Astyanax mexicanus: one gene and its partner. The protein of the gene in region 1 purifies or fractionates together with the protein of each later gene. This does not show direct contact. Links are inferred from orthologs where the notes say so. Each region holds a gene or a part of one and is shown in the gene's direction. Other genes may lie near its edges.

Region 1 (11,427 bases):
ACACACACCCAAACAGAATTAGGTTCCAACTAGTGAGCTGTAGAGCGATGGACGTTAACATGTACATGTAGCTACGTTCTTAGAAGTGTGAAGTACTGAAGCACAACAATTAGCTAACCTGGGTAATTGGGAATGTAGCTACACATACAGCAAACATTTGCATTGTTTCGAAAATACATTTAGCTAGAGTTCTAATGTACACTAACTATAGTGGAATAATATAGAATTATAGGGTTATAAATATAGATTTATATATAATATAGGGGTACCTTTACTCAAGTAAAATGTAAAAGTACTGGTTTCAAAACTATTTAAAGTGTAACAAACCACATTCTGTTTTTCTTTTTCAGAGCTCAGAATGGATGTGGATGTGGTGCTTCAAGCACGCTGCTCTCCCTCGCTGAGCCACCCTTAACGACAGCAGTGGGTGTAGGTAGCTCAGCAACTGCTACTCGCCATGACTATGCGCTCCACCGTGTTTACAAGTGGACGAAACACGCTGGACACAGACTTGACTGACCAACGCAAAAAACAAGTGGCAGCCACTGAATCTCAGAGTCTTGTAAAGAAGCAAGGCTGTGAGCATCCTGTCAGAGTTCCTGCCGTCCTGAGCACCATCCACAACAGTAGTGAACAGCATCTCCACAGCAAAGTGAAGACCTTCACAAGCAGTCACAGCACAGCAGGCAGACCTGGCCAGTCTCTGGCAGTGAGGAAAGGGCAAGAGGAGAACTGGGTGAACCTGGAGGATTTGATAGTTCCTCTGGCCAAGCAGATGGGGGCCGAGGGTACCCCAGTAAAAAGCAAATCACTGTTTGGACAGGCCAGTCACAACCACTTGGGCAGGATGGATCCAGTGGCATCAAACGGCAGCAAGCAGCCACGAAAGGCAGGGCCAGTGGGGGGAGTTGCAATAGCAGGAGTCCCCTCACCTGAACATGGCCCTGATGCAAAAAGCAGAAATATGATGAAGGGCATCGGCCATGCTGCCACACAGACTAGCTGCTTTCGTCAGATTCTTCTGTTGCAGCTAGAGCTGATTGAACAGCAACAGCAGCAGCTGCAGAATAAAAACAAAGAGATAGATGACCTCAAAGCTGAAAAGGAAATGGTAAGCAGAGGTTATTTGTCTATTGTGTACTAAACAAATTGTCTTTAGTATATTGAGACAGACACTACGCCACCTTCCCAACTGTGATACATTAATACATACCTGCTTGATCTTTGTATTTGGAGTCTAGATTTTATACAGTTTTATTTTCCTTCACACTTTTATGAGATTAAGTAAGTGGCTTAGGGCTGATAACTTGATTAAACGCACACAAATTAAGAGGAAGCATTTCTTTAATCAATTGTCATGTTTTGTACTTAAAAAAACAAACAAACTATGGCAAAGGCATCCTTCCACTGCTCTGGGCTATGCACACTTATTTATTAATTTCATTAATATAGTTGACTGCTCGCATTGAGCGAATGGAGCGGCGGCTACAGATGGTGAAGAAAGAAGGATCTGAGAATCGGCCGTCTCAGACTCCACGTCGCAAGGAAGTTGTTGAGGCCATCTCACCAGAAAGCACAGGGCAACCTGAGGGGCAGAGCCTGACACCTAGACCTATGACTTTAGGAAGGGGTGGCAAGGGCCTGAAAAGGTATTCAACATTTTATACGTAAAGCTTTAAATGTTTTTGTTTAAAAACATACTGCTTACTTATTTGTTGATTTGGCATGCATGAAAAATCAAACACAAACATGACTAAACTTTCTTTTGCTTTTTTAGAAGATTCCTTTTTCAAGAATCCGGGATGGCCAGGTCCAGACGAGGTCAGCCCAAAATGCCTTCTCCAAAGGAAGGCCAAGCTTTGAAGGAGGAGGCTCAAGAAGAAGAAAGTCCCGAATTTAAGTCACATGGTTCCTCCATTGTCCAATCAGAAGAACTGCCTTACCTGGCTACGACAGAAATGTATCTGTGCTGTTGGCACCAGCCGCCACCCTCACCTTGGAGAGAGCCATCTCCTGTGCAGGACGACACAGTTGCTGGTAAGTTTTGTCAGTTGTGCAAGCACTTTCAGTACCAATAGCCCACACACTTTTAGCACCAATAGCTCAAACTCTCTAGCTCATACATGGCATTAGGAACAGGGTCAAAAGTTTTGTGTTTATCTGCTTCAGAGATTCCTATTCTATTGGCAGTATATCTGTGCATGGACTATTTGCACATGTCAACAATGGGTGAAATTTAAAATAGCTGAATGTATTAATTACAAGGGGTGTCCACAAATATTTGTATATGTAATGTTTGTAGCGCTAAAGTTCTTTCAAATGTCAACAATGGTAACTTGTATCTAGAGAACAACAAAACTTTTAAACTAAATGTTGGTGATCTGGATTATTGACACTTTATACCTTCCTTTCCATTTTAGTCCCGTCTTGGCGAGAGAGCATTTTGGAACCCATGGAGGAGAAAAAAGCAACAGATATCCCTGAGGTCAGTAACAATTCAAAGAAAAGAGATTGATATGTTACACCATCTCCTGAAATGTATTACAGTGGCCTTTATTAGGAAAAAATACAAATGTAGTTTATCTATGTATGAAATCTTAAATCTGCACCCTAGAGTGACTTTATTATTTTATTCAGAGTCTAGATGACGGTGTCTTTTTGAAGCGGCATTCAAAACTGGAGTTGGATGAAAAGAGAAGGAAAAGGTAGAACTGATTAATATCCCTGCGGTTTCTTTGAACGGACTGCTTCTCTGTTTCTTTTCACAAGTCCCTAATTTCCTGTCTGTCTCAGGTGGGATATTCAGCGTATTAGGGAGCAGAGGATGTTCCAGAGACTCCAGCAGAGGATGGATAAGCGAAAAGTGATTCAGGAAAGTGAGCCAGAGCTACTTTCCTTCTACCCTGAAGCAGAGGATGGTATGTCACTAAAGTTTCAACAGTTAAACATAGAAAATTGGTGCATTTTTACCAAAATGTTCTTTTTTTTTTTTTGTTTCAGTGGAATCAATAATGATTACACCATACCTGCCAGTGGTGGCATTTGGCAGACCCCTGCCTAATCTTCAACAGCAGTACGTTTACTCATATTTCACATTTGTAACACAAGATTTCTTTCTTTTTTTTCTTCAAAATTTGTCCTATGTATGGTCTGTTCTGGAATCCTCTGCTTAAAATCATTCTCTTCATTTTTTCTTTGTACAGGAGTTTTGACATACCATGGCTGGATGAGCGCAGTCGCTGCCGACAAGAACTGTCCAAAAAGAAGACGCCCCATCGGACCTGCCGCAAGTGAAGCAGTCCTACAGGCGAAAAAAGACAGCGGCGCAGCCCACATGTTCCTTCTAAAGGAAATGCTGCTTCAGCTCTACTGTTTCGTGGCATGTCCTGTGTGCTACAAGATCATATTGGCAATATGCACTCACCTGGCATACCTGACTGCCTTGATTGCACTTTTGATCTTTAAGCAGACCAAGTCCATTTTTCTCCTCTGTTAAGTCTTCATTTGGTGATGGAACCACTTAACAGTCTAACTCCACAGTGGCAGAAAACCAAGCTTTCAGAAGTTCATGCTCATGGTTGTTTTAATATTGCAAAGTATAATGCTTGTGCCCTGGTTGCTTTTGCATCATCTCATACAAGTTTGCTTTCAGATGTACAGTATGGACCAAAACTCCCATCATATTGAGCTGAGAACAGAGAATGTCAAGATTTGTTGTTTTTGGTTTGCATTTCTGTTCATTGTAAGTGGATGGTATGAATCTAAGAAAACATGGCCTATCTTGTAAAATAGTGTTGATTCAAAGTATAAGTGTAAGATACTCTAAATGCATCTAAAGAGAATATTTCAAATATTAAAGAAGTTCACAATTTATTTGTTACTGTGTTTTTTTTTTGTTTGTGTTATCCACTCTAGTTTACTGTTTGTGTTACATTAGGTTGGAAAATACTTATGTAGTTAATCTAATTTTTTTTTTTTTTGCACTTAACTCAGTCATTGCACGTCATAAACAACAGCAATGGTAAGACTGAAAATGAGAAATAGTGTAGTAATCCAAAACATCCATTCAGACTCTTGAAAAAATGATTTGGACTGTATGGGGGTAATTTCATGAAAATTGGACATGGCTGTTTGAATGTAATCTGACAGACCTGTTTAGTTGTGCTTCCTTAATTTGAAATATAGATTCCAGCCTAAAGACCAAGGAAGTGTTGCCAATCTTCAGAAATCTTTCATGTGTGTGGATGATCATTACCCTGCTGAAAAATGCAAATGCAAAGACAAATATACATTTTTTTGGCTCCATAATTTGGCCTAGGGTAGAGACGTGGCTCTATTAGCGAAATGTAATTTAAACCAAAAGCTTGTGGATACAGCAGTACTACCTAAATGTGTTAGAATTATGCCGTTTTGCCAAATATTTATGGATTTCAACAAAACCTTGCACCACCTCTACAACCAACTGATGCTCTCAGGATGTTCAGTATATTTCACTTGGAACTTTATGACTTAAAATAAAGGACAGAGTGCTGTAAGGAACTTTGCACATGTTTTAAAGGGTCTGTGACATACTTCACCATGGGCTTTTTTGGGTTAATTAATCTCCACATATTTGGTATTTTATACCACACGTTCATAATTTTTGTCGACATAATTTAGGTCTTTGGAACAATGGCAATATGACAGTAAAAAAATATATATGTTATTTCTGTGCCCTTAAAAAGATTGTGATATTTATTATGTTGCTTATCTGTTGGATGATTCTGGGCATTTACTTTCTTTCCTATGAACTTAGTTTACCTTCTTATGGAGATTTAATAAAAAAAAATGGTCTTTTCTTATAAAACATAAAGAGTATAATGTTGTAGCTAAAGCTATTACTAAATGTTTATTAATGATGATGGAATCTCATATGCAATTTTACACCGTCTCCAAGTTTAAACCATTTGCTTTATATTAATGTTCGAGACTTCAAAAGTGAAACACAGTATTAGGGAAGGATTCTACAACAAAAGAAAAATTAGGCCACAAGGGATATCATATTGGAACTCTCATTTTACAGAGATCTCTTGGGGGAAAGCTTCATCACTACTTTATAAGTTTTGTATTTATAATAAAATCAGAGAATCAAGTACATTTAGAATTCACGTACATCTACCTATGTAATTATAATATTGCTACATTTATCAAAACAGTTAATTTTGCTCCAAACATACAAAAAAACTAGAACATTTATTTTTTTAATGTTCTTATTCAAAATATTTTTAGAAAGCTCTAGCCTTTTTTTGATAAGCAAATTAGAGGGTAGATATAAAATGTGACTGCTATTTTTGGTTTTATCTGTAAGGTCTCTACTGTCAACTTAACTTTAAATCTGATGATCCTCTTTGGCAAACACTCTAATATTTGGTTGGACCACCTGCTTTTGCTGTGGCATTTTTTCTTTAAGCTTCTGCAATGTCACAAGATTTATTTCAATCCAGTGTTGCATTAATTTTTAATCAAGATCTTGCAGCACTGATGGTAGAGTCTGACCACTGCACAAAGCCTTCTCCATCCAGCACATCCCAAAGATGCTCAATGGAGTTAAGGTCTGGACTCTGTGGTGGCCAATCCATGTGTAAAAATGATGATCTCATGCTCCCTGAATCACTCTTTCACAATTCCAGCCTCATGAATCCAGCCATTCTCATCTTGGAATATGCTCGTGCCATCAGGTAAGAAAAAATCCAGTGATGGAATAAGGTAGTCAGCTGACCTCATTCTTTCAGCACATACTGTTGCTGAAACCTAGACCTGACCAACTGCAGCATCAACCCCACATCATTTCCTTAGTTAAATCCAGGTGAAGATTTTTTTTTGCCAGTTAGTGTATTTCTTGATGGATTTAACTTGTTTATTAGCAGCAATAAAGCTGTGTCCACTGTAAATTACACTAAAGAGTTTAATTTGCCGGTTTATGAATGAGATGTGTTGTCAGTATAAATGTTTTGTTTAGCTTGAAAAACCTTTTTGGTTGTATGTTTAAATTACCTTGGATGTCTTTGTTTGTATTATATTGCTTTTGGAATTTAATAAAAGTATTTAAGCTCTATTTAAATGACTATGTTTCATTTATGAAGTTTCCTCAGCCCTGTTGCTTGGTAATAATGGGTGTAGAGGAAGTGACGCACTTCTTAACTCCCACATTGCCTTGCGCCTTTCCGCTCTCCCCTTCCTTGTGAGTTAAGATGGCGGACCGGCGACGACGAAGGCGGCGCGCTTCTCAGGACAGCGAAGAGGAGGAGGAGGAGGCTTCGGGCTCAGACAGCACCGGCTCCGCCTCACAAGCGGCCAAGACCCGGCCGAGGGTCCCGGAGCCTGTCGAGGCCCCGGCGGTTCGCAGCGCCCCAAAAAGCGATGTCGAGTCGGAGTGTGTAAGTATTGGCCGTCCAGCGGGGCTTCAGCGGCGGGCCGAGGGTCCGGCAGGGACTCAGCTAGCGGTCCGGCGGGGGGAGGGAGATAGGGGTTAATAGGAGAGGAATCGCGGGTTTTTTTTGGGAGGGACGGGTAGAGTCTGTAGAGTGTAGCGTTAGTGTGTAGTCTCTTTTTTTGGCTCACTGTTTTATTAGTCAACTCTGGTCAGAGGGACAGAGCAGGGTAGCTACATAACCCGCCAACACCTCCGGGATGGTGATGGTGATAGTTCTAGTGATGGTAATGGTGATTGTAACGGGAATGCATACATACGTGCTGTCCGTTAACCCTCTACTTCAGTTGTTCTCAAACATTGGTAACTAACATGAAGCACACCAAGGTGGTACACCACCAAATAAAGGTTTTAATGAATCAAAAACAAAAGATTATACAGCAAAATGCATGTGGGTACCACGTGATGTCCAAATGTCTAGCTCTTAAGAATTTGCCTGGTTTCATTGGAGACAATGACATGTTGTCACTATCATCTCATAAAAACATCTCATAATTTTCATGAAGAGAAATGTGATGAAAGTAATTTTGAAGCGTTTCTTTTATAATTTGGAGTTTACCTTTTAATAGCATTAGTGTTTCATGTCAACATCGATATAACACATTGCGTTATTTGTGAACATCGTTTACATGCTTACGAAGTTTTAGGTGGTACTTTGGGTTTGGCTTTGGTGGTACATGATCTAAAATGTTTGAGAAGCACTGCTCTAGCAAAAAAAAGGAAAAAAACAACATAATTTTTGTTATTAGTAGATTTTGTTGTGACAATGCTTCTTGGCAAGCCTGTTCATTTCCCTTAAAATTGTCACATTTGTAAGGAACATGCATTTCCAGGATGAGCAGCAGAGCTCAGCAGAGTATGTGGGTTGCCTTCATGAAAATTTTGTCAAATCTCCATCATTGCCAAACAGCGTATTCTGCTGTTACTACTGTTTCCTGTTTTCAGCTTCTGGTTCCCCCAGGTGTTGCCTTGGCATGAGCATGGGCCCTGGTACAGTGGTCAGTATATGTGTGCCTCAAGATTTGACATTCCTCAATTGACTAATCTGGATAGAAGGCCGAGAGGTAGCTTCACTTCAAGCTGGTGTGCTGCAAAGCCAAGTTACGGCATTATTCTGAGTGAGCCCTAGTACTGATATCTCCAAATTAAAGGCCACATTCCATATAGCTGACACTAAGTGGGCATCACAAGATGATCACACAGAAAGAAGATAGTCAACACCAAACGAGTCAATGGCACAATAAGCTGTTTGGCATTGGCATTGAGCATTTAGCATTTTCGTGAACACAACACACATTCTCTGCTCTGCTGCTCATCACACTAATGCATGTTTCTTAAAAATGTGGCACCATTTTAAAAGAGAAATAACAGGCTTTCCAACAGTATGGGACTTATTGCCAAGTCAGCAAAGAAATCGTCTACCAAACATGTATTTCCTTATTTTTTGTGCTACTTTTATTTGGTACTTGCACAGTAAATTATCGTTTCAGAATTGTCATTGATATCTAAGCATGGGCAAAGATGCGTCACATTGTTGATAATGTTTTTACAGCTTACTGCATTCAGTGTATGGATTTTACAAGACATTTGAAAGTGTCCTGTGTTTGCGATTAGGCACCAAGAACAACTTTAGCAGTAGGTCCTTTAAATCTTGTAAGTTAGGTAAAGTAAAGGGTGAGTGAGGTGGTGCCTCCATGAGCATCACTGAGCCGTAGGAGTACCTGACCATGTTGCTGATTCATTGGTTGGCCTGTTTTGTACTACAAAAGACCCGCCTGATGTTGTGGAGATATTATGGGCTGTCGTTTATTAGGCAGCAAACATTGGATTATTGATGATTTACACTCAATTTATCTCCATTTATCTCCATCAGTATAAGTTATTTTGCTTCAGTCTTTAATACACACAGAAGGCATTAGTAATATTATGACATTGGACCACTTTTAATACTGCAGTATTAATTACAGAGCAAGAAAACATCACTGTCAGTTTTTCTTAATATTGCTTCTTGAGTCACAATGAGGAGGCATTGACACATTTTCTGATTAAAGTGTGTGTAAGAAATTGGTGTGCTTTCTGCTTACAAGGAAAGTTACACAAAGTTATGTGTAGATGATCAAGTCTGGTTGGTAAGGCTTTGATATCTCTAGACATGGGATTTTTAGTTTTTTTTTGTGTCTTGGCTACACACAAAGCCCCCAGACAACATGCTTTTGTTGTCTGAGGTAACCGAACTGGGAACCAGCAAGTTTTTGTATATAGGTTTCATGGTGGGGCCTCACATATGGATGCCCAGTATGGTTTAGTATAGGATCAGGGGGAGTTAACCATCAATTTATTCTGAGTTGTACACTCACATGGGGCCTGGGCACATAAAGGAAGCCCAATGCATGGACAAACAAATTTTGTCCACCTGGAAGCCACCTAGCATATGACCTACGCATGTTAGCCCAGTATCAACATGTTGCCAGGTTTAAAAGCCATATTTTTTTTCACTTTCTGTTTGGGTGGATTACTAAATGGATGTGTGTTTCCTTTGTGAACCTTATCAGGTGACAGAGGTTTGGCTTATAGAATAAGGAACTTGATGTTTTTGTTTATACAGTTTTAAAGAGAAAGGAATTAAGTGGTTTCACAAACACTGTACAGCTCTGACCACCAACCACAAGTCTGACTTTAACTATATTTTTTTGTTCCTTTGTAGGAAAGTGAAGATGGTGGTGTAGGTGAAGGTGAGTTTCTCTTTGTGCTTTTACTTAAAAGTACTGACACTAATGATGGGCTTTATCATACACGGTTCCTATGTGATTGATGTAGATCACTGATTCACCACTTTTTTCGTTTTTGTTCTTGCAGCTGTCCTTTCAGACTACGACAGTGCGGATCCTGAGGAGAATGGTTCTCACTCAGAGGTGAGTCACCATAGCAACACAGACTGGAGGACTGGTGAGAAAATCTGTCCCCAAACTGGCTCCAGTACATGATGGATGCTGTGCATTAAGTGTTCGTTGGTTGCGGCTTATTGGTGTACATTTGAGTAGCTTGTTTTGGTTATGTTGCCTTTTGTCCAATTGTGTTGTTTATGGCAAGAAGTTTTAAAGAAGTTATCTCTGTTCAGTATTTAGTAGGGTTGGAAGCTGAGCTGATGTTCACTTGCTGTTTATATTAGTAATGAGTTGGAGCCAATAGGAATGTCTGTATCAAAGGCTACGTTCACATTACACCTCTTGTTTAATCATTTTAGATTGTTTTTCTCAGTTAGTGTTCGGTTTATTTGATGATCTACATTTATAAGTAGTTTGTAAGTGTAAATGACCTAAAGTGAGCAAATCTGTGCCTGAAGTAGGATGTACACATAAAATTATAAAGCACTTTTACAACAGCTTTACAGAAATGTTAGCAGGACAGAGAATCAGTCAAAACATTTAACATACAACATAGAAAACTTTTACCTTGAGAAGGAAACTCACATTTACTTTTTTCTATCAAATGTATTAGAAAGGCTAATATATGAGGGGTATCCATCCTCCTCTGGTCAGACAGCTTATAAATTAATTTTTAAAAGGTAAAAAAATGTTTGTGGACATGTTTTGTGAAAATCTTATTCAGACATGATTTGTCTACATGGCCCCTGGAAAAAATCACATCTATTATTCAGTTTAATTTTTGCAATGCCTTTATGTCTAGTCCAATACTCGAGTACAGTGTAGTGGTGCACTATTATGGTGACCCATTGGCTGTTGAGAATTAAATTACATATTGTTTTAATGCTGTTTTGCTAATTATTATTCATAGAAATGAATTCCTCTTGTTGAGCATAGACAAAATGTTGGTTGTTGGGTGCGTGGAGTTTGTGTGCTGCATTTGTTTGAACATGCTGTACATCTCCCTGTGCTGAGTTAAATCTGAACAACCTTTTTTTGCCGAAGTGGTCGTTTTGCTCGGTGTCCTAGCAACCCTCGTTCCTCAATCTTCTCGGCTGTCTAGCAGAATGAACCCCAGGCCTGCATTTGCAGTATTTCCTCTCCCTGCATATGAAGAGCTGTTTGCTGGGTTGCTTGCAGTTTATTTCATCACTGCTGCTTGCTATTGCACTTGTATTCAAAGGATAGAACGTGCTCTTACCACATGAGCAAATTTCTTCATTGACACCAACTAATTTAGTGTCCAATGACAACAATATTGCTTGATGTCTCACTTGAGTACAGTTAAGAATTTGTACTATGTGACCTTGGGACATAAATAAACTGTACAGTGTGTTTTGAGTATTGCCAAGGATGCCTTGTTTTGGGGTTCATCCATTTGACCTTGCTCCATCTCAGGGAGGAGAGGAAGAGGAGGAGGAGGAGGGAGAGCATTTTAGTGATGAAGAGGCTGCACGCCCTGCTGCAGAACAGAAAGCTGCAGTGGATACTCCTGCAGAGGAGTTGGGACCCGAACAAGAGGGGGAAGAGGAAAAGATGAAAGAAGTGAAGGTGGAAGAAAAGAGCAATCTGGCAGGAGAGAGACAGAGTGGGGATGGCCAGGTATGATATTAAAACTTTTTTCCCTTTCTACTTACTTTTTTTAAATGCATACATTTTGTATAAATATATAGTACCAGTAAAGATTTAAAAACTATAAAGGACCACATATGCAATTAGGCAGTAGACAGAAAAATGTCTTTGGCCTACACAAACACCTGGCTAGTTGGAATGCAGAGTGAAGGAATAGCAGTTGACAAGAGCTCAGCACCTCTAGAACTCCTTTAAGACAGTTGAAAAGACATTCCAGGTTCTACTTCATGAAACTGACTGAGAGGATCAGCCAAGAGGGGACTAAGTTAGCTTTAAAGCAAAGGTGGTACTTTTTTTATTAATCCTATATAAACTTAAGTGTAAAAAATATATTTTGGCTTGTTTATTTATTTTGTTTACTTCATAATTGCATATGTGTTCCTTTATATTTATATGTCTATT
Region 2 (11,476 bases), on another chromosome or scaffold:
GCTGGTTCCAAAGAGCTCACTGAACTCCATTATGGTCCTGGAATTACAAAAGGGATATTATAATCGTCTTTAAAATGAAAGCTTTGAGGAACCACAGCAACTAAGTGCTACAATGTGTCTGACAGTTACAGTAAAGTTACAGAGTGGGATCTTTGAGTGCCGAAAAGTCCCCAATGCTCTGCTGATTCAATAACTGTAAAGTTCCACACTCCATATTAATGCAGATGATTCATATCAATGCATATATGTTTAAAATCGGATGTAATAAAGCTAATGTACATGTAATGTGTGCATGTACCTTTACTTTTTATGACCAAATCATCTTCTTTTATTTCAACTCAAGTGAACAAAAATACTGCTTTTACCATATTTTACATTAATTTTTTTTTTTTTGTATGAAAATAAAGTTTGATTAGAATATTTTAGCGCACATGATGTATTTTACGGACTACAATTTTGTGTAGTTGGTTAGATTCAAGCTTTTATGGATCTTTCAGAATATTTGGTCCACATGGTTTCACTAAGAGACAATCATAACATATTTTTCTTTTACTGATTTTGTGTTTATTTATTTTTTTTTTAGGACTGCTGTTCTGTTCTTGTTATACAGTGTTCTGTTTTCTCTTTTTAGTTTTCTTTCCCTTTCTCTCTATCTCTCTATTTTTCTGTCTTTTTCTGCAAAGCGGGAGGAACAGTGGCTGCATGTAATTACATGCAGCAGGTACATATAGACCAATAGTGGGGCCGAAAATGCAGGACTTAAAGAGATGTATTTAAAGCTGTAAAAATCCTTTAACAGCACGAGCGCTGACCTTTAGATGCACACACTGACATGAGATCACTGCAAGCTCTGGAATTTAAAAATCCAGACACACCTTTGTAAGATCTCTGATGTCTGGGGGAAGAGATATTATATAGTCACCTTATACTATCATGCATCAGGCTGGCCGCTGTTTGGTGTGACTGCAGACTTGATGAGAGGCAGATACGGCAGCAGAAGCCTGCCACACAGATGCTTGCTTTGAAATCCCCACAGTGGAGCTGTCTGAAGAGCTTTAAAGACAAGCTGTGACCTGTAAGCAGATGAGGCGTGTCCCTGATAAAGCCTCAACCTGCCAGTCAAAGGGTATATAACTTCCAGACAGTCCATCAGTCCTCTCCCACCAGATGTTTAAAGTGTTCTGGTTTAAGGTCTGTCACGGTTATGAAGTGAAGATAAACCTTTCTCCCCTTCACCCTTTGAACTCACTGACCTTAAACCCTCTTTTTTTCAGCACTGTACCCCTCTGCCTTCAGAGTAAAGAGAGGAACACCAACTCTACTTAACCCCTCCATCCAGAAAACTGTGGAGGACACCAACTTAGTCTATGAGGTATGTTCCCTCCACTGTTTTTACCTTGTATTGTGTTTTGAGAACCAACAATCTAAATCCCTAATCAAGAAATACAATTTTGGCAAGACAAAGGGATAAACAGAGACACAAAAAAGGTCTGCAAAGGACGATGGTCAGAAACAAAAATGAGGGTTACACAAGCAATAAACAAAGGAAACGCATTGTAGCAGAGCTAGCTAACTAGATTCAATACTCGGTGAGGGACAAAGAAAACAGAGAGGTATATATACAAGACAGGCCAGGTGCAAACAATCAGTAACTGGGAGAGTGGGAATGTCAAAGCTTCACGTGATCAGCAAAGTCAAGGAAGTCTGTTGTAAGTGCATGCTGGGAATTGGAGTCTTTGTTGTGTAGTTCAGAGTCCAGAGCTGGCAGACTGACAGCTACAGGACTGACAGTCACACTGTACCATATTATTAAATATAGGTGTGTCAATAAATACAGGGTATTTGATGTCTGGTAGGTGGTGTGCACTGTCTGGAGCTATGTGGGAAGCTTGTACCCCACCTGTTATATAGTGTATAATGCACACTGCAGGTATAGAACATCACACATCTGCCTCGAACCATGTGGATTTATTCTCTTTAACATTGCAATTGCAACATACAAAGCCAAATGTACTGTATGTAGTGTTTAAAGTAAAACATGTATTGTGTAAAGTATTTCTCACTATCTTTATATTTAACTTTATTTTATAACGTGTCTTGGTTGACTTATTGCATGTGGGTAAAGGCAACAATGTTTTTGACCAGTACCTGTCAATCAGCATTAAAGTAGAAATTGAAATGACACTTACAACATGACCAAACCTAAACAATTTAGACCTTAAATTCATGTAGACAAACACAAGATAAACACAGACTTTCTTACATCAGTTTTTCTGTCTGACTCCGAGATCCTCACAGCATTTTTTTTTCTTTAGCCCAATGGAGCTTCTACTTTTTTCCAATACTTTTGTATCCATCAACTTCTCTTCACTGAGGTAAACAAGGCAAGCAATGATGCTACTAGCACAAACACCACCAGGCAGTCAACAAACCTGCACATACAGACTCATCCTGTTTCTCCTACAGAAGCCCTGAGCTCCGTCTCTACACTGCTTTGAAACAAATTAGGCTGCTCCCGAACACACTGTAGAAGAGTTCGAGTGTTTCTGTCTGTCTCTTTCAGAAACAGAGTTTTTACCTTCAGAAGTACCAGGAGAAAAATGAAATTCCATCACAACACAATCTCTGACTTTTTCATGAAAGTAGAATGGAAGTTAATAAAACAAGAGTGAGAGAAAGTGTGATGGTAGAGAGAATCTGACAAACTTCGATAACGTGTTTCTTCAGGCCCTGTTCAACCTGGGCAATGGGCTTTAATAGAAAATGTAAGCTGCAGGAACACTGCTCTCTGGATAGAATGTGCTCCAGTACAATGTAATATACAATATAAACCCCTGTTCCTAATGGAATTTATTAGGAGACTGAAGAGTTGCAAGAAAAATAGCAGTTAATTATTAGGTATCTTATCAAAAACATATCAGTAATGTAGCAGCATCTGAACATTCAGTAGATCATCAACAGACTTTTACAGAAGATGTCTCCTGAATTCAGTTGTTTTTCACTTTCATGGACTGAGGTTAAGTTTAGGACTAGTGTCAGGATAATGGTTAGGATTAGGCCTTGTTTTGAGGTCAGGATTTGGATTATGGCCAGAGTTAGATTTAGGTTTTCTAAAGTTCGGGTAATGATTTGGACTGAGGTTAAGGTAAGGGGTAGGTTTTTGGACTGAGGTTAAAATTAAGATTAGGTTTTGGACGGAGGTTGAGGTTAGGGTATTGATTTGTTTTAAGGTTAGGGTTATCATATGGATTGAGGTTAAGGTTAGGGTCAGGTTTTGGACTGAGGTTAAACTAGGGTTAGGCTTTGGACTGAGGTTAAGGTGAGGGTATTGATTTGTTTTAAAGTTAGGGTTATCATATGGATTGAGGTTAAGGTTAGGGTTAGGTTTTGGACTGAGTTTAAGGTTATGGTTAGGTTTTGGACTGAGTTCAAGGTTATGGTTAGGTTTTGGTCTAAGTTTAGGGTTAGGATTTGGACTGAGGTATGGCTTTAGGTTTTGGACTGAGGTTAAGGTTAGGGTTAGGTTTTGGACTGAGGTTATGGTGAAGTTAGGTTTTGGTCTAAATTTAGGGTTAGGGTTAGAATTTGGACTGAGGTTACGGTTACAGTATTGATTTGCTGTAAGGTTAGGGTTATGTTTTGGATTGAGGTTAAGGTTAGGGTCAGGTTTTGGACTGAGGTTAAATTTAGGGTTAGGTTTTGGACTGAGGTTAAGGTTAGGGTTAGGCTTAGGCTTTGGACTGAGGTTAAGGTGAGGGTATTGATTTGTTTTAAAGTTAGGGTTATCATATGGATTGAGGTTAAGGTTAGGGTTATGTTTTGGATTGAGGTTAAGATTAGGGTTAGGTTTTGGACTGAGGTTAAGTTTATGGTTAGGTTTTGGACTGAGGTTAAGTTTATGGTTAGGTTCTGGACTAAGTTTAAGGTTAGGTTTTGGACTGAGGTTAAGGTTACAGTATTGATTTGTTGTAAGATTAGGGTTAGGTTTTAGACTGAGGTTAAGGTTATGGTTAGGTTTTGGACTGAGGTTAAGGTAACAGTATTGATTTGTGGTAAGGTTAGGGGTTATGTTTAGGGCTGAGGTTAAGGTTATGGTTAGGTTTTGGACTGAGGTTAAGCTTATGTATAGATTTTGGATTGAGACTGGAATTTTGGAATTTAATCTCTAATTTGACTACTGGTGCTGCTATACGCCATCTATTGTATCAAAACATAAAATACAATCTGTCAGCTAATATCACGGGACTTCAGCTACCAAATGGAAATAATAGGGTTGGTGTTCTGACTGAAGGTCACTGACAAATAAGAAAAACTGACAGATATCCTGTCAGGGGACTGGTCACACTGCACAGTCAAAATGAACTGTGGCATTACAGTCATAAATATATATATATAAAATATTTTACTAATGTTCAGGTCTTTATCAATACATTGTTCAATATTCAGTATTATTATCAGTAAGTAAATTTAGATTTATTTGTAGGATACTATTTGTAGGATTTTATACCAAATGTAACTGAAACAGTCCAAGGAGTCTTTGCTCTAAATGTATCTCTTTTAATAATGTCTGTCTGTATGATTGTCTGTCTGTTTGTGGCTCAGGCCCTGTGGTCAGGGCTGTATGTGGATGCCAGGGAAGGTGTGCTACGCATGGCTGATGAGGAGTTAGCTTCTCTGAGGCGGCTGCAATCTCTGGAGGTGGTCTGCGAGGACGTCCTTCCCAGAACACTGTCAGACATCCGCCGCCTCTGCCACCAGCTGGAACAGCATCGGGGTCACCTACACAAGGAGGACTTTGAGCGAACTGTGCTCACCATGGTGTACACAGCTCAGAGACTCACACAGGCAACTGCAGGCCACCAGAGGGAGCTGTGGGCAGACACCTTTCTTCAGCTTTATAAAGCCATTAAAGGAGATCTAAGAGCAGAGTGACAGATAACTTTCTTTATTAAATGAACTTTTCAATAAACTTTTAATGAAAGGAGTGGTGATAGGAGTGGTGATAGAGGCCTGTATTTTTATTTTTGTTTGGTTTGTTAAAGAACTGTTATACAAACTTATTAGACGTGTATATGATAAATGAAACATTATATTTGACTTGTACATATGATATATGTATATGTGTATGCTTAGTCTTGGACACCCCTGTTCAAATTTGGGATGTACTCAAGTCAGATTTTGTATGTCGGATTTGTCTGTATAATATCTGACTAACCTACTGTATTTGTTCCTTTTTTTCATGTAAACTTTTAGAAACATAATTGAGCTATCCGCAAGTTTCAGTGATCATTTTTATCTCATTAACATAGACAAATGCTACATGGGAACCTATTTTCTGAGCCTTAAAAATCAATAAAAGGCAGCTGCATATGATTTAAGACTGGAATTGTGGCTTATTTGAGTTGCCAACATATAATGTCTGACTGCCATATGGATTTGTTAAAATAAATAATAGTTATCTGCAGTAACTTCCCCCAAAATTCCAAATTAAAATATTGAGCATTTATTTGAAGAAAATGAGAAATGGCTGAAATAACAAAAGAGACGGAAATCTTTCAGACCTCAAATAATGCAAAGAAAACAAGTTCATATTTATAACGTTTTAGGAGATCAGAAATCAATATATGGTGGATTTAGTTCAGCTTGGTTTGATGGCTGTGATTCAGATTAATTTTAATTTAGTAAAATAAAAGGAAAACTCATAATTTTCAGAGCTGTACTTAGGAAACAGCTTGAAAAACACCCACACCTGTACAAATAGAAAGGTGATATCATGTGAGTGAGATAAAAAAAAAAACTGTCCAGTGTGCTCATGACAATACGACTTGAATGATCAGAGTTTTTGATTAAGCGATTCTGGCTTAAATTACTTTCACACTTTCAGAGGTGTACATATACTTTGTTCTGCAGTAGGATTAAGTTGGGGAAAACAACTAACCTAGTTAGCTAGAGATGCTGAATTGTGAAAGTATATTTATAGACCCACAGTCACAATGCGCTGAACTGAACAAAATGAAAGCGTGGGAGGGCATGAAATCCTCAGTTTGTGATAATTAAATTTGGAAACGCGGCAGTTTATGAAACTGCATCTACCTTATGTAGCTTTAATGCAGGAGTAGAAAACCCCAATAGTGTGTAATTTCAGGAGGAAAATGGGAAAGGTTCACTAGAGTTAATTCGTGCACCAGCTAGGTCTACACCCACATCAGTTTATGAGCTGTTATGATAGCTAACCTCTCTAACGCGCCATGATCGACATGTTCTGCTCTTCCTCTGGACCAGACTGCAGCGCTGCTTATTTTGTTCAGGCGCACGAAATACAGAGCTAGATTTGGGGTCCTTCCTACCAAAGCAGGCAGAGGAAAAAGTAGCCCACCCAGCTAAAACTGCCCTATGTTGTTTATGTTGTTTTGAAGGTAAGATAACGGGGCTGGTGGCGGTTTGGGGAGGGTTTGTGTGGGTAGTGCGGGGTATCGAGCAGCTCGGTAATGTTTACAGAGCGGCCTGAAATTCAGTCGAGCTGAGCTGAGCTAACACTGTTATTACTGACACTCTGCTAACCACTTACTGATTCACCGAGAGGCGGACAGACAGCTATCTAAAGACAGCTTCAGATAGACAGCAGGAGCTCTGCGTTTATTCCGCGCTGTTGGATTGTTAGCGATATATAGCGGGGGTTAATGTGCGGAGTGAGGGGCGCGTAAAGTGTGAAGCTAGTTAGCTAGCGTTAGCTAACAACTCTCGACAGCTAACAGCTAGCTAGCTAACTCGCTATTATCGTTAGCTGTTTAGATTTCTATGGCAAACGGAGTTAGCTCACTTGCTAACGGGCAAATGCCGTAAGATACTTCTATTATACGCAATTTTACAATAACTTGTAAGTTTATTTAGGCCATAATTCAGTTGGGTATGTGGGAATTAGCTAGTTAACTAGCTAGTATTCGGGCGGAAATAAAGAACGAACGCGGTAAACGTAGACAGTATAGCTAGCTAGCTAGCCAGGTTGGCTAATTTTATAGTTAATCATAACTTCGGTTCATGTTTTGAACAGAACAGCTGTCACTGCTACAACTGCAGCTCACTCACGTTACATTCTCCTGGTGTGCACTATGGTGTGTTTGCTTCTTCAACATAAACTAATGTTGTTCTAATGTGTTAACTTATTTATAAAAGGTATGAACTAAACTATTACCTACGTTTGTATTACTAACTACAGTGGCTAGCTGAAGTTAACGCTAGCTAAATAATGTAGCTTGTTAGCTAGCTGGCTTTCTCTTGTCTAACGAACGCTGGCTAACTAAACTAACTTTTTAAAAGTTGTTAGATTTACGCGTTAAATAGTACACCTGTCACACAGTCGTTCTGCTAAATATAGCAACATAAACGCCTTTATTTAGTTCGCTTTAGATTTCAGGTTATTGTGTGTGTAAAATGTTATTTTTTTATGCTGTGACTTTTAACGTAACAAACCAGGTTAAGTGTTTACTACATTCAGATTTCCGCATTACTGAATCAAAACAGGTTGCTCCACACAAACTAGGTTGCTGGATTTTCTCACATGCTGTTTGTGTTTGACAGTATTTTGTCCATGTACAGTTAAAAATAAATGTAAAATTGGTAAGGATATTTTTATGAGGTTGATTTTCTGCCAAAAGTTTTACACAAAAATATAAAATCTTATTAAAAAATTAATTACAGATTATATTTATATAGAAACACAAATAATGAAGCACAAACAAATGAGAGATTTCAACAGCAAACTCCACAGAAACACAAAAATAAAAGAAAAACTAAAATAATTTCCACATAACTGCAAAGTTTGTGATCACACACTAATAGATGTTTTCATGATAGTATTTATCATGTGGCAGATATGCTAATCTGCTGTTTAAAATACTGTTTTATGTATAGTACAGTGATTTTGCTGCACATCATCCAGTTTAACATGATTAATTACACTCTCTGTAATTAAATGTACAGTTGGGTTAATGTTCTTTAGGCACTGATGATATCCCCATAATCAATCAAGTAAATTATTTTCTGTTTTGAATCTTAAACATTTGATTGCAGATTTAATATTTTTGTATAAAAATACTTCTATATTTAAGTGTTTGAACAGGGTGTGACTGTTGAAATAGTACTTGGCCTCTATAAATATTGTGACCCCTCACAGACACTGAGAGGAAAGTTGTAACTAAACCAATGAAAACCATTATATGCCAAGTTTCCATGGCAACCTGTTGATTGCCATGTCATACATTTAATTTCTTAATGTAAAAGTGGTTACTGCACATCAGTTGGTTGTTACTAGTTAAGACACAACATATAGACTTGTGGTGTAACCACATTTAGTGAAAGGATAGTTTAAAGCTAAGTAGTGTTATGGACTTAGTAGAGACTTTACATACAAACTTAAGAATGAGACCCAGCTCTGGTCCTTTATTAGCTACCATTGCCCTGGTAGAGATTCCTCTAATTCCAACACAGGTGATCCATAATTAACTCATTACCTGTTGAGCCTTTGCTGAGACAAATGGCTATATTACAGTAGGAAAACCCTGTAGAATCACTCTTTGGCAATAACAGAAAATGTTGATGTTTCTATTTGCTTGCTCATGCTGTGTTTATAGAACATCCCAAAATAAAAAGAAATGTCTGATGTTTTAGCAGGATGCCTGCTGAACGCAAAAAGTCAGTGAACATGGATGACAAGGAAACAGTCTCCTACACCAGCAAGGAGAAAGAGCGAGATAGAGATGGGGATAGGCGACCCACGTCTTCCCGAGACAAAGGCAAAGATGAGAGCAAAATGAGTGGCAAGAAGGATGGCAACAAGTCTGCGGATGACAAGAAGCGTCGAGTGGAGGAGGAGAAGAGGAAGAAAGAAGAGAAGGAGCGTAAGAAGAAAGAAGAAGAAAAACTAAGGGCTGAGGAAGAGCAGAAAAGGAAGGAGGAAGAAGAGAAGAGGCAACAGGAGGAACAGGAAAAGAAGCTGCTTGAGGAGGAGGCCAAACGACAGAAGGAGGAGGAGGCTGCTCAGTTGAAGTAAGATTTCTGACAGAGGTTTCGACTTTGACTAGTTTTAGCATTTCTGTATAGTGCCAGTGTACAGCCCAGTATGTTCACAGGTAATCTAACAAACTGGACAAAAATTTTAGAAGAGGTTTAAAAAAGATCTATGAAACTATAGTATGTTTATAGTTCCAATTAGATTTACAGCAGCATAGACTGACTATATAAAGGTAAATACCTCCTATGTAACATTTTCCCCATTGTTTATAAACATTATTGCCCCTTTTCCTTTAAAATATTTGAGTATTTAATATTTCTGACAAATTGTTAAGCATTTTATGTGAACCCTTTCATCCTCTGTTATGAGTTGATGTTTGAAAGCTATTATCACATGCACTGTATCACAATTACTGCACAAATGTTATTTTGTTATGGTATTTTTATATTTATATCAGTCTCAGAAGTTTAAAATGGACTAACTATTATCTAACTGTTGGTGTACATGTAAATGTAGCTCTATTGCTGCAGTTTTCAGCTAATGTGTTTGTGTTGTAGGGAGAAAGAGGAAGCGCAGCAGCTGCACCAGGAGGCATGGGAAAGACACCAAACCAGGAAGGAGCTGCGAGGTAAGAACCAGCATGTGCAGGAAAGCCGTCCCGAGGAGGCCTTCTTCAGTCGCCTGGACTCCAGTCTCAAGAAAAACACTGCGTTTGTCAAGAAGCTCCGCACACTCACAGAACAGCAGCGTGATTCCCTCTCGCACGACTTCGCTTCGCTCAATCTCAGCAAATACATTGGAGAAGCCGTCAGCTCACTGGTGGAGGCCAAGCTTAAGATTTCTGATGTGGGTTGTGCTGTACACCTGTGTTCGCTGTTCCACCAGCGCTACGCTGAATTTGCCCCTCTCCTTCTGGCTGCGTGGAAGAGGCACTTTGAGGCGCGCAAAGAGGAGAAGGCTCCAAACGTGAGCAAGTTGCGCACTGACCTACGCTTCATTGCTGAGCTGACTATAGTGGGTCTCTTCACTGATAAGGAAGGGCTCTCTCTCATCTATGAGCAACTGAAGAACATTATCAGTGCTGACCGTGAGACTCACACTCACGTTTCGGTGGTAATAAGCTTTTGCAAGCATTGTGGAGATGACATTGCTGGCCTGGTGCCTCGTCGGGTGAAGAGTGCAGCTGAGAAGTTTAACCTGACATTCCCTCCGAGTGAGATCATCAATATAGAGAAGCAGCAGCCCTTCCAGAATTTGCTGAGAGAGTATTTTACCTCTCTTACCAAACACCTGAAGAAAGATCATAGAGAGCTTCAGAACACTGAAAGGCAAAACAGGTGAGCAAATGTCATAACCATCAGCCCAGTGTATCTCTTTAGTGTAGGTGTACTGGAGCTTCTTCTAAAAACCTCTTATGCTCTATTTCCTTATCTTTCAGGCGTATTCTGCACTCTAAAGGAGAGCTGAGTGAGGACAGGCATAAACAGTATGAGGAGTTTGCCACATGCTATCAGAAACTGCTGGCCAACACCCAGTCTCTGGCTGATTTGCTGGATGAGAACATGCCTGAGCTGCCTCAGGATAAGACTGTCCAAGAAGGTACAAACTCATGCACAACAGGGTTTTTACAACACAAATTGGTTTTGATATAGACCCTTCAAAAAAGTCAAAATACTCTGGAGGTTAAGCATATTCAATCACGAATTGCCAGTTCATTTGAACAAGTGTATGAACCAAATGAAATGTCTGATGTTTATAAATAATACTCACAAATATTATCTAATAATGTCCTTATCATCTAATGCATTTAATGAGGTGCACCTCATAAGTACTGGTAAATTAACAGCTAGCCTAAAAAAAAGCATTTCTAATGACCATATTTTAGCTTTACATTTCTTCCATTTTAGTTATGTTACCTCAATCTCACAATATTGTTCAAATGAATGTTTAAAGTTTTAAACAACAAAACATTTTCAGTGGTTTCAGTTCAATTTGTTGTTTACACCAAGATATAGTCCAAGACTTAGTGAACCAGCAAACCAGCCCTTTGTTTTCAGACAAACATTAAGCGTTTTTGTTTATTGCAATAACACCTTGTGACACAGTATTTAATGTAATAGAATTTGCAAAAGTTTGTTATGTAATAACTTTCAGTTTTATAATGGTTATAAACCCAGAATAGTGGTTAAATGTGGTTTTATGAGTGTCAGGAGTTAATTAGTAACATAGATCCCTACAGAGGTGTGTGAATTACTATTTATGTTGTATGAACAATGTGTTTGTGTGATGTCTGTGTTGCAGAGCATGGTCCAGGCATTGACATCTTCACCCCGGGGAAGCCAGGAGACTATGAGCTTGAAGGAGGAATCTGGGAGGATGAGGATGCACGAAACTTTTATGAAAACCTGGTAGACCTGAAGGCATTTGTTCCTGCCATTCTGTTCAAGGACAATGAAAAGGCCTGTC

What was found.
Region 2: the proteins of casc3 (region 1) and upf2 fractionate together in Homo sapiens (co-fractionation; 3 studies listed by BioGRID and IntAct). This does not show direct contact. The link is inferred for Astyanax mexicanus from reciprocal best matches to the Homo sapiens genes CASC3 and UPF2.

Annotation. Positions count from the first base shown.
Region 1 is NC_064426.1:33,094,536-33,105,962, reverse strand, and holds the start of casc3 (protein CASC3), read left to right. Parts: upstream 1-6,208; 5' UTR 6,209-6,230; coding exon 6,231-6,416; intron 6,417-9,173; coding exon 9,174-9,201; intron 9,202-9,325; coding exon 9,326-9,381; intron 9,382-10,791; coding exon 10,792-10,995; intron 10,996-11,427. Other genes in the region: msl1a (male-specific lethal 1-like 1), read left to right, coding at 458-1,111, 1,453-1,649, 1,778-2,037, 2,421-2,485, 2,638-2,705, 2,794-2,918, 3,001-3,073, 3,204-3,294. UniProt on the Homo sapiens protein: Required for pre-mRNA splicing as component of the spliceosome. Core component of the splicing-dependent multiprotein exon junction complex (EJC) deposited at splice junctions on mRNAs.
Region 2 is NC_064409.1:45,005,472-45,016,947, reverse strand, and holds the start of upf2 (regulator of nonsense transcripts 2), read left to right. Parts: upstream 1-6,257; 5' UTR 6,258-6,416; intron 6,417-6,501; exon of another isoform or gene 6,502-7,112; intron 7,113-8,667; exon of another isoform or gene 8,668-8,670; 5' UTR 8,671-8,671; coding exon 8,672-9,045; intron 9,046-9,567; coding exon 9,568-10,347; intron 10,348-10,448; coding exon 10,449-10,609; intron 10,610-11,311; coding exon 11,312-11,476. Other genes in the region: protein FAM180A, read left to right, coding at 1,275-1,372, 4,603-4,932. UniProt on the Homo sapiens protein: Involved in nonsense-mediated decay (NMD) of mRNAs containing premature stop codons by associating with the nuclear exon junction complex (EJC).